3 linked regions of the Solanum lycopersicum genome follow. The main gene of each other region encodes a partner of the protein of the gene in region 2 in a complex. Links are inferred from orthologs where the notes say so. Each region holds a gene or a part of one and is shown on either strand. Other genes may lie near its edges. The genes, in order: small ribosomal subunit protein bTHXc, small ribosomal subunit protein cS23-like and 30S ribosomal protein S13.

Evidence for each region.
Region 1: small ribosomal subunit protein cS23-like (region 2) and small ribosomal subunit protein bTHXc share a complex: the UniProt entries of both Arabidopsis thaliana proteins name them as parts of the 30S ribosomal subunit. The link is inferred for Solanum lycopersicum from reciprocal best matches to the Arabidopsis thaliana genes PSRP3/2 and PSRP4.
Region 3: small ribosomal subunit protein cS23-like (region 2) and 30S ribosomal protein S13 share a complex: the UniProt entries of both Arabidopsis thaliana proteins name them as parts of the 30S ribosomal subunit. The link is inferred for Solanum lycopersicum from reciprocal best matches to the Arabidopsis thaliana genes PSRP3/2 and EMB3137.

The regions. Positions count from the first base shown.
Region 1 is NC_090804.1:66,172,101-66,175,663, reverse strand, and holds small ribosomal subunit protein bTHXc, read right to left. Parts: upstream 2,307-3,563; 5' UTR 2,084-2,306; coding exon 1,906-2,083; intron 1,804-1,905; coding exon 1,739-1,803; intron 849-1,738; coding exon 726-848; 3' UTR 595-725; downstream 1-594. Other genes in the region: uncharacterized protein, read right to left, coding at 3,533-3,563.
Region 2 is NC_090802.1:7,166,192-7,169,950, reverse strand, and holds the start of small ribosomal subunit protein cS23-like, read right to left. Parts: upstream 2,227-3,759; 5' UTR 2,120-2,226; coding exon 1,871-2,119; intron 279-1,870; coding exon 1-278. UniProt on the Arabidopsis thaliana protein: Component of the chloroplast ribosome (chloro-ribosome), a dedicated translation machinery responsible for the synthesis of chloroplast genome-encoded proteins, including proteins of the transcription and translation machinery and components of the photosynthetic apparatus.
Region 3 is NC_090804.1:939,909-943,200, reverse strand, and holds 30S ribosomal protein S13, read right to left. Parts: upstream 2,328-3,292; 5' UTR 2,249-2,327; coding exon 2,135-2,248; intron 1,748-2,134; coding exon 1,523-1,747; intron 909-1,522; coding exon 741-908; 3' UTR 631-740; downstream 1-630. UniProt on the Arabidopsis thaliana protein: Located at the top of the head of the 30S subunit, it contacts several helices of the 16S rRNA.

The sequences.
Region 1 (3,563 bases), on a different chromosome or scaffold from region 2:
TTTTCTTCAACCAATATGTATGTGAATTCTATTTATCCAACTTGTGTCCTGCTGTAAAGCTGGTTTATGATTGTATAGTGGACGCAGACAAACTTGGTGACCCAAACAAAAGAAGTTTTTTTGTGACTGGATTTGCTCACTCACATCTTGACTAATTCTTCGAGGTAAAGGTTACCTCCAACCAGCACAGATATGGAGTAATTCTATCCACGAAGGTCTAAATAAGAACCACCTAGGGGTCATTTGGTAGGATGTATTAGCTATGACATTTTTTGATCCTTTCTTTGTTCGAGGCCAAAGTGCCCTTGATAATATATCAAACCAAATAGTGGGTAGGAAATAGCTCCAACATAACTAATCCCAGCATTAGTAATACACTATATATTACTATTCTTATACACTCTACAAAAAGACCTCCTAATGTGTTTGTCTCCGCTAGTATATGAACCTAAAACCTCGTGGTTTTCAACCCATAAGGAATGTGGGGTTCTCTAAGCTTTTCACTTTTCTCAATAGCTAAAGTAGTGACTATTACCACTTGTCTACTGAAGGTTGCTAGAACCAAAATGCATAATTTAACAGGACACAAGAGCATTTAAACGAAGACCCTTCAAGCAAACTAGAAATCTCAGTCCAAATGATTAACTTAATCGATATTTCAATGAAATAAACAAAGTAGTAGAAGATTAGAGCTACATAAAAATGAAATTGCTCCTCCGAGAAAACTATGGGTCATGTATTTCAATTTTAACGACTTGGCCATCATCAAATGGATCTCTCTTTGGTGCTGCTGGTGGTGCTGCAACCCTAGGTGGTCCTCTTCCCTTCTTCTTGTTCCTTGGCCTTGCCTAAACCAATTCATACCATCGGAATCAGTTCAAAATAACAACAAAAAATGTCGAAACAACTGTTGTTTTTTCACTATTTCTGTCAAATCTAACGAACATAAATTGTTAAACGTATGATGATAACACTCTAAACTTCAAAGTACTAAAAATTGGTTAGAGCATATTTAACAGACTATTTTGAATCTATCATCAACATTGGTGGTTAACGAAGAGGGTCGAGAATCATGAGGTTTCAGGTTCAAATTCTATCAGAGACAAAATAACACTAGGTAATTTATCCCATCTATTGATAAAATTAGTCGAGATGCATCTAGGTTGCAATCAAAAATAAACTTCAAAACTTTTTAGGGGTCAATTCGTCTAAATGTATGAACAATTGAATCTCAGTATAAAATTCTATAATATTAAAAGCATTAAACTCCTGCATTAATTATGCAAAACCTTATGCACCAATAATCTTATTCCAAGTGAATCTATAAATCATTTTATATGGAATTAACATTCATTTAATCAAATATGAGTTAAAAAATTATTCATATTAAGTAATTTGTGTTGATATCTTATTTATCAATTTCAACAAAACACATACTTCTCTTTTCTAAAATTTAAAGGCATAAATACATTAAATATCTCATGGAATTATTTATTCATCTTCGATACACTCGTTATTTTAAGCCAATACCTTTAACTCAAATATGCAATAAATTTAATCTCAAATTCTATTTCGAGATTATTATTCTTATTCCACGTATCAAACTAGAATGTTAGTGTAGGATTCTCCTAATATAGAGGAGGTAAGTGTTTGTTTATAAAATATACAGGGGTGTATCTGAAACTAAATCATATTAAGGAGGTCTTATCCTGCAATAAACCAAAATATACAAACTCACATTGCCAAAGGAGTGATTGAACCGCTTGCCTTTCGCCGTCTTCTTATCACCTCTACCGCAGTAAACTGAAAATGAAATCAAATCAAAATTTCAATTTCTCGAACTGAAACTTCAATCATCACAAAATTTTCACAAACAATAAATTCGAAAAGGTATGTGATTCGTACCCAATGGGAGATTTGAATCAGTGAGAGACGAAAACGAAATTGATGGTGAAGGAGATGCCGCCGTAATTGAAACGCTGCCGGCGACGGAGTGAGAACGAGAGAATGATAAATTAGGAGAAAGAGAAGCCATGGATTGAACAGTACTCATAGGAACTGAACCAACTAACAACGACGCCATTGCAGCAGCTCAACTGATAGAATTGAGATTTTATTTGTGGTGGTTCTATAGCTTCTTATTCTGTTTCTAGATAATGTGCCCTTTGTCTTTTTTTTATTCAAATACCCCTGAATTAAGGTAAAATTCACTTATTTTTCCTTGTTTTTTTTTTTTAAAAAAAAAAACGTTAAGAGTTACTTGGATGGTAAATACCATTCATTTTAAACTTTAAAATTGTGAATTCAAGTTATCAGAAGATCAATTATTTTTTATGTAAAAGTATATCAAGCAATAAACTGAGACCTGAAAAGGATTGTTTGGAACGAGAAATAAGGAATAATAGTGTTATCTCAAACTCTATCTGTTCCTATTTAGTTGTCCATTTTAGAAATGACAAACATATTAATATAGCAATAATTAGAATAGTGAAGTTACAATTTTGCCCTTATTAATTATGATTTCGAAAAAGATGAATTAAAACTTAAAAATTTTCAGGAAGCTTAAATAAGAATATAATAAGAAAAAAAATTATCTTTTTTTATGTGTGAAAATAGACAAATAAATTGCAAAATGAGACGGAGGGAGTATAAATATAGTTAGATTTCATCACATACATAAAGAAATTTTAACATATATAATAATTAAGAGAAGTAATGAGATAATAGTACACCTCTATGACAGACTACTTGTCTACATTAACAAAGATATTTATTCAAAATTACTTGTCAAATTAAAAAATTAATTCTATTTTTTTCCATTTTGCACCTTAAATCGACTCTTTTTGATTAAAAATATAAATATTGTAAAGTTCCTCTTTTGTTATTAACAGATAAAGACACAAAAAATAGAATTTATGAAAAATAATTATAACAGTAAATTAGTAAAAAAATAAATATTTTTAATATTTCTTAAAAGACAAGAAAAAAGAAAAAAATGTACGTTGATATACAATGTAGGAAGTAACACAATGATTAATCATACAAGACATTCCCAATTGATTATAATTTTTTTTTTACCAAACTCACTCAAAAATACAAAAATATATTAATAACAAGTCAGTCAAAAGATGAAATACCCTACTCTACAAAAATTTGAGAACTCAATTCACTTATTATCGACCACAAAATTGACCTCGAACTATGACAGTACAGATTCATATAGTCGACCTCAACTTGTTTGGTACTGAACCGTAGATGTTGTTGTTGGTGGTGGTGAACAGCTCCCATGCAAATCACTCTACTCAATCTAGACACAGAAAATCAAGAACAAATAATATAGCCATTTCCCTACAGAAAAAAAACACAATAGATCGATCATTCACGTTAGTATTTATTCAAATATGTGATTTAAATCGACGTCTTGAGGAACTTCTTCTCCACTCTGTAGTTAAAATTACCAGAAGCATAAGGGAATCTCACCATTTTTCTCCTTAGTTTGATGCATTTCTTGAACAATTTTTCTCTGTTACGACTAAACTTCTTCACCCTTCTTGTTATTGATA
Region 2 (3,759 bases):
GCTAAATCACCACCACTCTGTTGCCACAAATTGATGATATCCGTGGCCTGATTAAGAAGAATAATTGCCTGTTTCTGGGATATCCATGGTTTACTCTCGAGCATGACTTTAAGTTCCTCCCAAGCATCTTTTCTAGGCCAAAAATAGTAGGGGCTCAACGGAATCGTGCCATGACCAGGAATTACCTGGTCTAGTGAAATTCCGATGTTCTTCTCCATCCAAATAAACTTCAACACTAGCCTAGGTTTCTCCAGTGGCTTGACCAACACACCGAGCTTCTGTACATCCAGCAGATTGTAAGAGCCAAACACCATAATGAAAATGGTGCAAATATTATGAAATTCTTAAAAAACTAAATAAAATGAGAATCAAACACCAAAATAAAGATATTGCAGACATAACTATGTAAATCAAAGCAGTTCGTCTCTAACCATTGAACTTATAAATGTCTTGAGACATTCACGCAGCATAGTATTAAAGTACACAGATGCATTGGTACGAAGAACCAGCCATCAATTTGGTCCAAGAAAGAAACAGAGCCGAGGAGACGTGTTGCATACATAACAAAATAAATAAAAACAATTTTTTTTAACAGGTTAAACAACTAAATGAGACATTCACCCAACATCGTATTAAAACGACAGATGCACTGGTTTGAACCGTCATCCATCAACTTGGTTCAAGAAAAAAGAATCGGAAAAGAAAACTAATCAAACCCGTGGAGATCTGTTGCAGCCTTTCAGACATAATAAAAATAAAGATAAAAGACCAATTTTGCTTTTTAAATTTTTGAAATAGGACAATTATGTCCTCCATTTCGTTTTATGAAACAAAAATGCCATCGCTGTTAGCCAAGTGGCTCAAAATTTCCCTACTCACTAACGGTTGTCCCACTCAGATGGAAAAGGGACAAAGTTATCCTCCAGTCCTTAAACAAAGTCAATATCACCCACAAAATTTTGGAACCAATGAGGCATCTGGTCATGTTTAACATTTTATATATCATCCCTAACGAAAACAAATTTATTTGCTTGGTCATTAATGAATATTGATTAGGTATTAAGAACTTGTTCTTGATAGCAAATCTTCACAAATTAATGCTATCTTTTACGAGAAAGACCTTTTTCCTGTCAACTGAAAAAAGATACTAATAACGTTCCCATAGTATAAAGTTAACTCGAATATCTACTTTACGCTAGTACGGAGAGATTGAATGTTATGATATAACTGAATACAAACTTACACTTTGATCAACTTAAAAGATGATAGCATAGTAAGAATGTGATTTATCAAGCCAGCTAATGGCAAAGGTATTTTTGTGCCAAAAACCGAAACGGACAACAAAGTAATCTTATTTCAAATAGTTCAAGAGAAAAATTGGCCCTTTTCCTATAAATAAATCTGCCCCATTATTCCTAAGCTTACAACTTTTCTTTTTTAAAATTAGTATTCCAATTTCCAGGCGATCCCCAAATCGGAAGAAACTACATATTATTCTTCATAGTGCCTCTGGTGGATTATTACATGGTCTTCCATTGTAATCTTTTTCATTCTAGTTCTATTGACAATTAAGACACACCCTTGGATGCAAAATCTTTTAACATTAAGAGGATGGTTCACTTCCCACAATTCAACAAAAAACTAAAGGATTATAACGGGCAGCGCGATGCACTAAGCTCCCTCTGGACCATGTACTGTCCACAGCCTGGTGCACTAAGCTCGCCCCCGAAAACAAGGGCCAGTTGTGCAGGTGTTGGTTGGTTAACAAACAGAAACCAAACAATGGATAGGAAATAATCGCAGCATTACTGATACTTATACACACTCTACCAAACAACACCTAAGAGGGAAGTCAGAGAGTGAAAATTACCTCTTTTTGAAGAGAATCTGAGGAAATAGAATCACGGGTCGATGTTTCTTCAGCAAAACTCAAGGCAGCCGCAGCTGAAGTAGCAAAACCCCCAAGATTTCTTCTGGGTACGATTGCTGAGACATTAGAACGTCGAGAAAAAGACTGCCCCTTTGTAAAGAAGACAAATTTGGGTGAAAAAAATTGGTTTTGAGAAGAAAACGCAGGAACCCAATTCACAGTAAGCTGTGTAGCCATTGATAACATCATTTTCAACAGCTAAGGGGAAACTCAGAGCTTCTCTGTCATTGTGTTGTGTTCTTCATCAAAGTCTAGATAAGAAAAAAAGATCCGACACAATATAACCCGACCCGGATTTTTTGGGGTTGGGTAAATCTATTTAAATGATAGCCTAATATCACGGATTTCGACTTTAAAAGTGACGGATCATGATACTAAACTTTATAAACTATCGAATATCCACCAAAAATTAACTTAGCAAACTTTAGTGTTGGGACTATACTTTAGGTTATTGTTTAATTATTTGGACTAATTTCAGGCTAATTTAGGCCGATATAATTGCAACAATAGCCTAAAATTTCTGAATTATATGTTATTTGTGGATTGGAGTACAATTTTTGGATAATTTTAGATAGGATATATTTCTAACAATGAGATTATATTGTAACAACAATGCTTACTCAAATGATTATTCTATGTCTGGACATTTTATTCAAAGAAAAAAATAAACTTGGTTCTCTATCCTTAAGATGATTGTGATACAATGGATGGTAAAAGGTTTAACGAAACCAGAAATTATAGTGATTCAGCGGCTAAGAAGGGACCTAGAATATTTACGACTCCACTTTTAAATACCCTTCACTCCCTTTAAAATGAAGTCTTTCTTTTTTGATAAAGTGATCAAAACTCGTAAAATAAATCAATATATCATAATATTATAATGTATATCAATATCATCTATGAATCGCAATAACATAAAATATGTTAGAATAATTAACTCGAATCGAATAAAGAGGAAAAAAAAGAAAAGAGGAGGCCAAATACAAAATGGTCAAAAAGTGTAGTTTTGGAGTAAACTAACCCAAAAGAAAACCGTGAAAGCCAGCGCGACTCTAACAAGCAGCCACACCAAACAGTCCTTTAAAACGGGTCAACCCGTGAAACACGTAAATCTTCAATAACCCTTTCTTTTTTGGCTTTAAATTCACTTCAATTTTTTTCATTTTTCCTTCTCATTCAATATCCTTCTAATTGGAGTTTCTTCTTCTTCGTTAGAGACATCAATCACCAGGTAAGTTGTCCAATTCAGTTTTCATGTTATTGATTGGTTCAGATTTAGAGATATACCATTAGATTCTGTTGCTGGTCTCTCTACTTCATAGAGACAATACACTTGTAGATAAAATGTTCAATAATCCTTTGAAGTCTTCCACTTTGTTTGAATAATTGTTATGTATTGTCACATAATGTATCGTATTCAATGGCAGAGCCACCTTATAGTTAGGTTCATCCCAACCTCGTTCGGCGGAAAATTATATTATTTATACATGGTTAAAATAGTTTTTAGTTACATATAGTAGATGTCAAACCCTCTTCGACCTCTTCTGCTAATTAGTATTTTGAATCCACTTACTGAAAATTCTGGCTCTGCTGTATTGTATTTTGTTGTATTCTTAATGAATTTAATATTTGGATAGATTGTGTTGTTCTTGTTCGTTACATGATTTTGTACATCCATGATTTGAATAATAAAGCTACAAGGAGAATAGGTAAGGTTAGAGCTATTGTGAAAAAGTAGATAAAAAATGAACTATGATTATTAAATGATAAATGAAGACAAAATGAGAAGAAAATGTTAAGGTAACGACGCAATCATACCAAATAGGTTG
Region 3 (3,292 bases), on a different chromosome or scaffold from region 2:
GAAACCTTAGAAAAGATAACTTAGAAGGTTCTTCTGGGGTCGCGATAATATTGAAAATGATAGAGACTACATCGTCGTCAATAATGCTAGTGTGAGGTAACAAGTAAGTAGTGAAATACGTGTAAATTGATCTGAACATCATCACTATTGAAAAACAGAAGTCATGGTCTTCAAGAAACCTGAGAAAAGTGAACCTTCTTGAGTACTAAAGGGGTGGGACTTAACTTTCATGCTCATGCATGTGACAAAAAGGTGCCACAAACTCTATGCTTTTAGTTAATTCTCAAAATGACCTAACGAGTCATTACATTAACAATGCTATGACTCAAATTGTAAAACTTTGGTATCACATTAATGCAAATACTTGGCCCAAACACATTACTGAACTTGAAGCTTAAACCAAGGCTCATAGATAGGGACTGCACTTCATAGGTCGTTACATCAACAATTATTATGACACCTAACGTAACTTAACAAACCTTTCTCCTGTCAACCAAATCATCCAATCAGAATAACGTAAATTCGCAATTACTCCACATGAAACACATTTAACAAGATTTAAGGAAGAGATTATGCCTAAGCATCAACATTCTTCTTGAAAAGCTCTTATCTTGAAATGTAGAAAAATGATTTCAATGGAAAAAACTGTTTATAACAAACAAATGCACAGTTTGCCATAGGAATATAGAGTGTAACTTTTACAAGTTAGTTACCAAAAGAAATGAAAAATCGATCTTGATTTAACGAGGTGCCTTCTTCTTCCCTGCAATTGCTACTTTCTTGCCCTTCAAAGTACGGCAATTGTTCTTTGTTCGTTGTCCTCTGCAAGGCAATCCTTGGATGTGCCTTACTCCTCTATAGCACTGAATCTCCTTCAACCTCCTAATGGCAAGAGCATTGAATCTCCTCTGATGCCAACACCACAAGTATGTAATCAATTTTCCCGTTTCAAATAGGAAGCCGAAGCATCAATCAAACAAACAACCTTATACACAAGAATCTCAATCAACATTGCCAATTGCTAAACAAGCTATCGATTTCTTCTGAAATACATTTCCATAAGAACTGTTTAATTTGGGATAAGGCTGTGATGCATATAGAAGCCATGATCCTACATACCCACCTAACAATAACTCCCCTTGTTTCGATTTGTTTGTCCGGATTTGACTTGACACAAAGTTTAAGAAAGTAAAGAAGATTTTTCGATCTTCTGGTTTTAATCTCAAGATATGTAGAATGCAGTTTCAGCTCAAATATGGTTCTTTCCATGTAAAAGTTGGACCAAAGATTGGTTTAAGATATTGTTTTTTTGGTTCAATTCCTATCTTGAGACAAAATGAATTAAATTTCTTAGAACCCCAAATGGCATTAAGTTAAACTATAGAGCTAAAATAAACAGCAACCACAGCAAAGTTACATGAACTAGATATCGAAATCAAATTACCTAAGCATATAAGTTTCAATAAGGATATGCACATTGGAACGAAAACAAATGAGTACAAATTAGAGCAATGAAACTCACAAGGTCTCCTTCAATCATGTACTTAGAGACTTCTTCACGAAGAGTGATAAGTTCCTCTTCCGACATGTCTTTCATCACTTTGTTCTCCATTTGAAGGTCTACCAGAATCTGGCGTGCAGTGGTGCGGCCAATTCCATGAATGTATTGCAAAGAGAACTCAACTCTTTTGTTGTTTGGAACTTCCACTCCTCCCACACGCACACACTTTATAACCAAACCTGCAGTCTACACAAAACTCATTTCAGTTCAAACTCAAAATCATGGAAAATTTAGCAAAACCCAATTTAATTCCAACTCAAAAAAGTCCAAAAATATGAAAAATAAGCAAACCTCAATTCAATCCCACCTCAAAAAAACGGAAACTTTAGCAAAAAAAACTCATGTTGGGTTACTGAGAAAATTTCGAAAAATCCAAAAACTCATTCCAATTCCTACTCAGGTAAAAAAAAAAGTAATCTTTAGCAAAACCCATGTTTGGTTACTGAGAAAATTGCGAGAAAAAAAAAGACAAACCCCATTCCAATTCCTACACGAAAAAGGTCAAAAAATGTAAACTTCAGCAAACTCCATGTTTGATTACTGCAAATTTCAAGAGAAGGGAGTGAAGTGTACCTTTGGAAAAGATGTGGGAGTAGAAAAAGAGAGGGAACTGTGCTTGGAGATGGAAGATGTGTTGCAGATAAGGGAAAGAGAAGGAAGTACAGGAGTTGCTAGTGTTTGCGCCATTGTTGAAAATCTTGATTGATGAAGAAATTGAAGAAGGAAGAAGATAGAGCCTTTTGCTGGTCTATTTTTCTTATCCTATTGGGGAAAATTGGATAGGGAATGGAGTTCTTCTTTTCGACCTGGTTTGCTAATATGGAGCCCCGGTTGTTCTTTTTTTTTTTTTTTTAAATTTTATTTTATTAATATGGTATTCGGGCTAGTTTTCATGCACTCGACTAAATTCACCGATGTCTATCATACTGTCACCTCCCAATAAGGATGTGGAAAAATCGAATCGATCAATAAACCTATTAAAAAAATGTTATTGGGTTATTGAATTATTGAGTTAATGGATTTTTAACGGATCTATAAAGGGTTTTTGATTAGGTATCAATTTTTAGTATTTGGTTATTGGATGAATCGATAACTCATTAAGACGATAGTAATTTATTACTATGCACTTTATAAATATTATTAATAATTTAACATAACTAGACATTATATCAGTACTCTACACATTTTACACGTCACATTACTTCTATTTTACATCTGAAATTTCATATTATGTTTTGGTTGTAACATGTAATTGTAGCCTTCGTATTACATCTAATTGAAATGAAGAAAATATTAGCTTTACAAAGAAATCTCTACATTTCATTTCTGATATCGCTCTTTTTATCTAAGGCCTAACCTAAATTTGGGGCGATAGAAATGCGAGTTGAAAATAAATTTACATGATCACTTACCAATTGAATAAAAAGAAAATTGATCTTTTAAAATTTTGTAGGCATAAAAATAAAGATCTCTCATGGGCAACAATAAAAAATTCTTATAAACAACATAAGATTAGAAGTGGTTATAAAATAATAAAGCAAGAACAAGAAGAATATTTTAGAGAAAATTAGAGAGAACCTATTTTTAAAGTAAAGAATTTTATAAATTTTAATACTCCATTAATTTAGTAATTTTAATATTATAAGATTATAACTAATAAATTTCATGACTTACTAATCCTATAAATTACATCTTAATGGGTACTTCAAACGATTCTTATGAGTTGTGAGT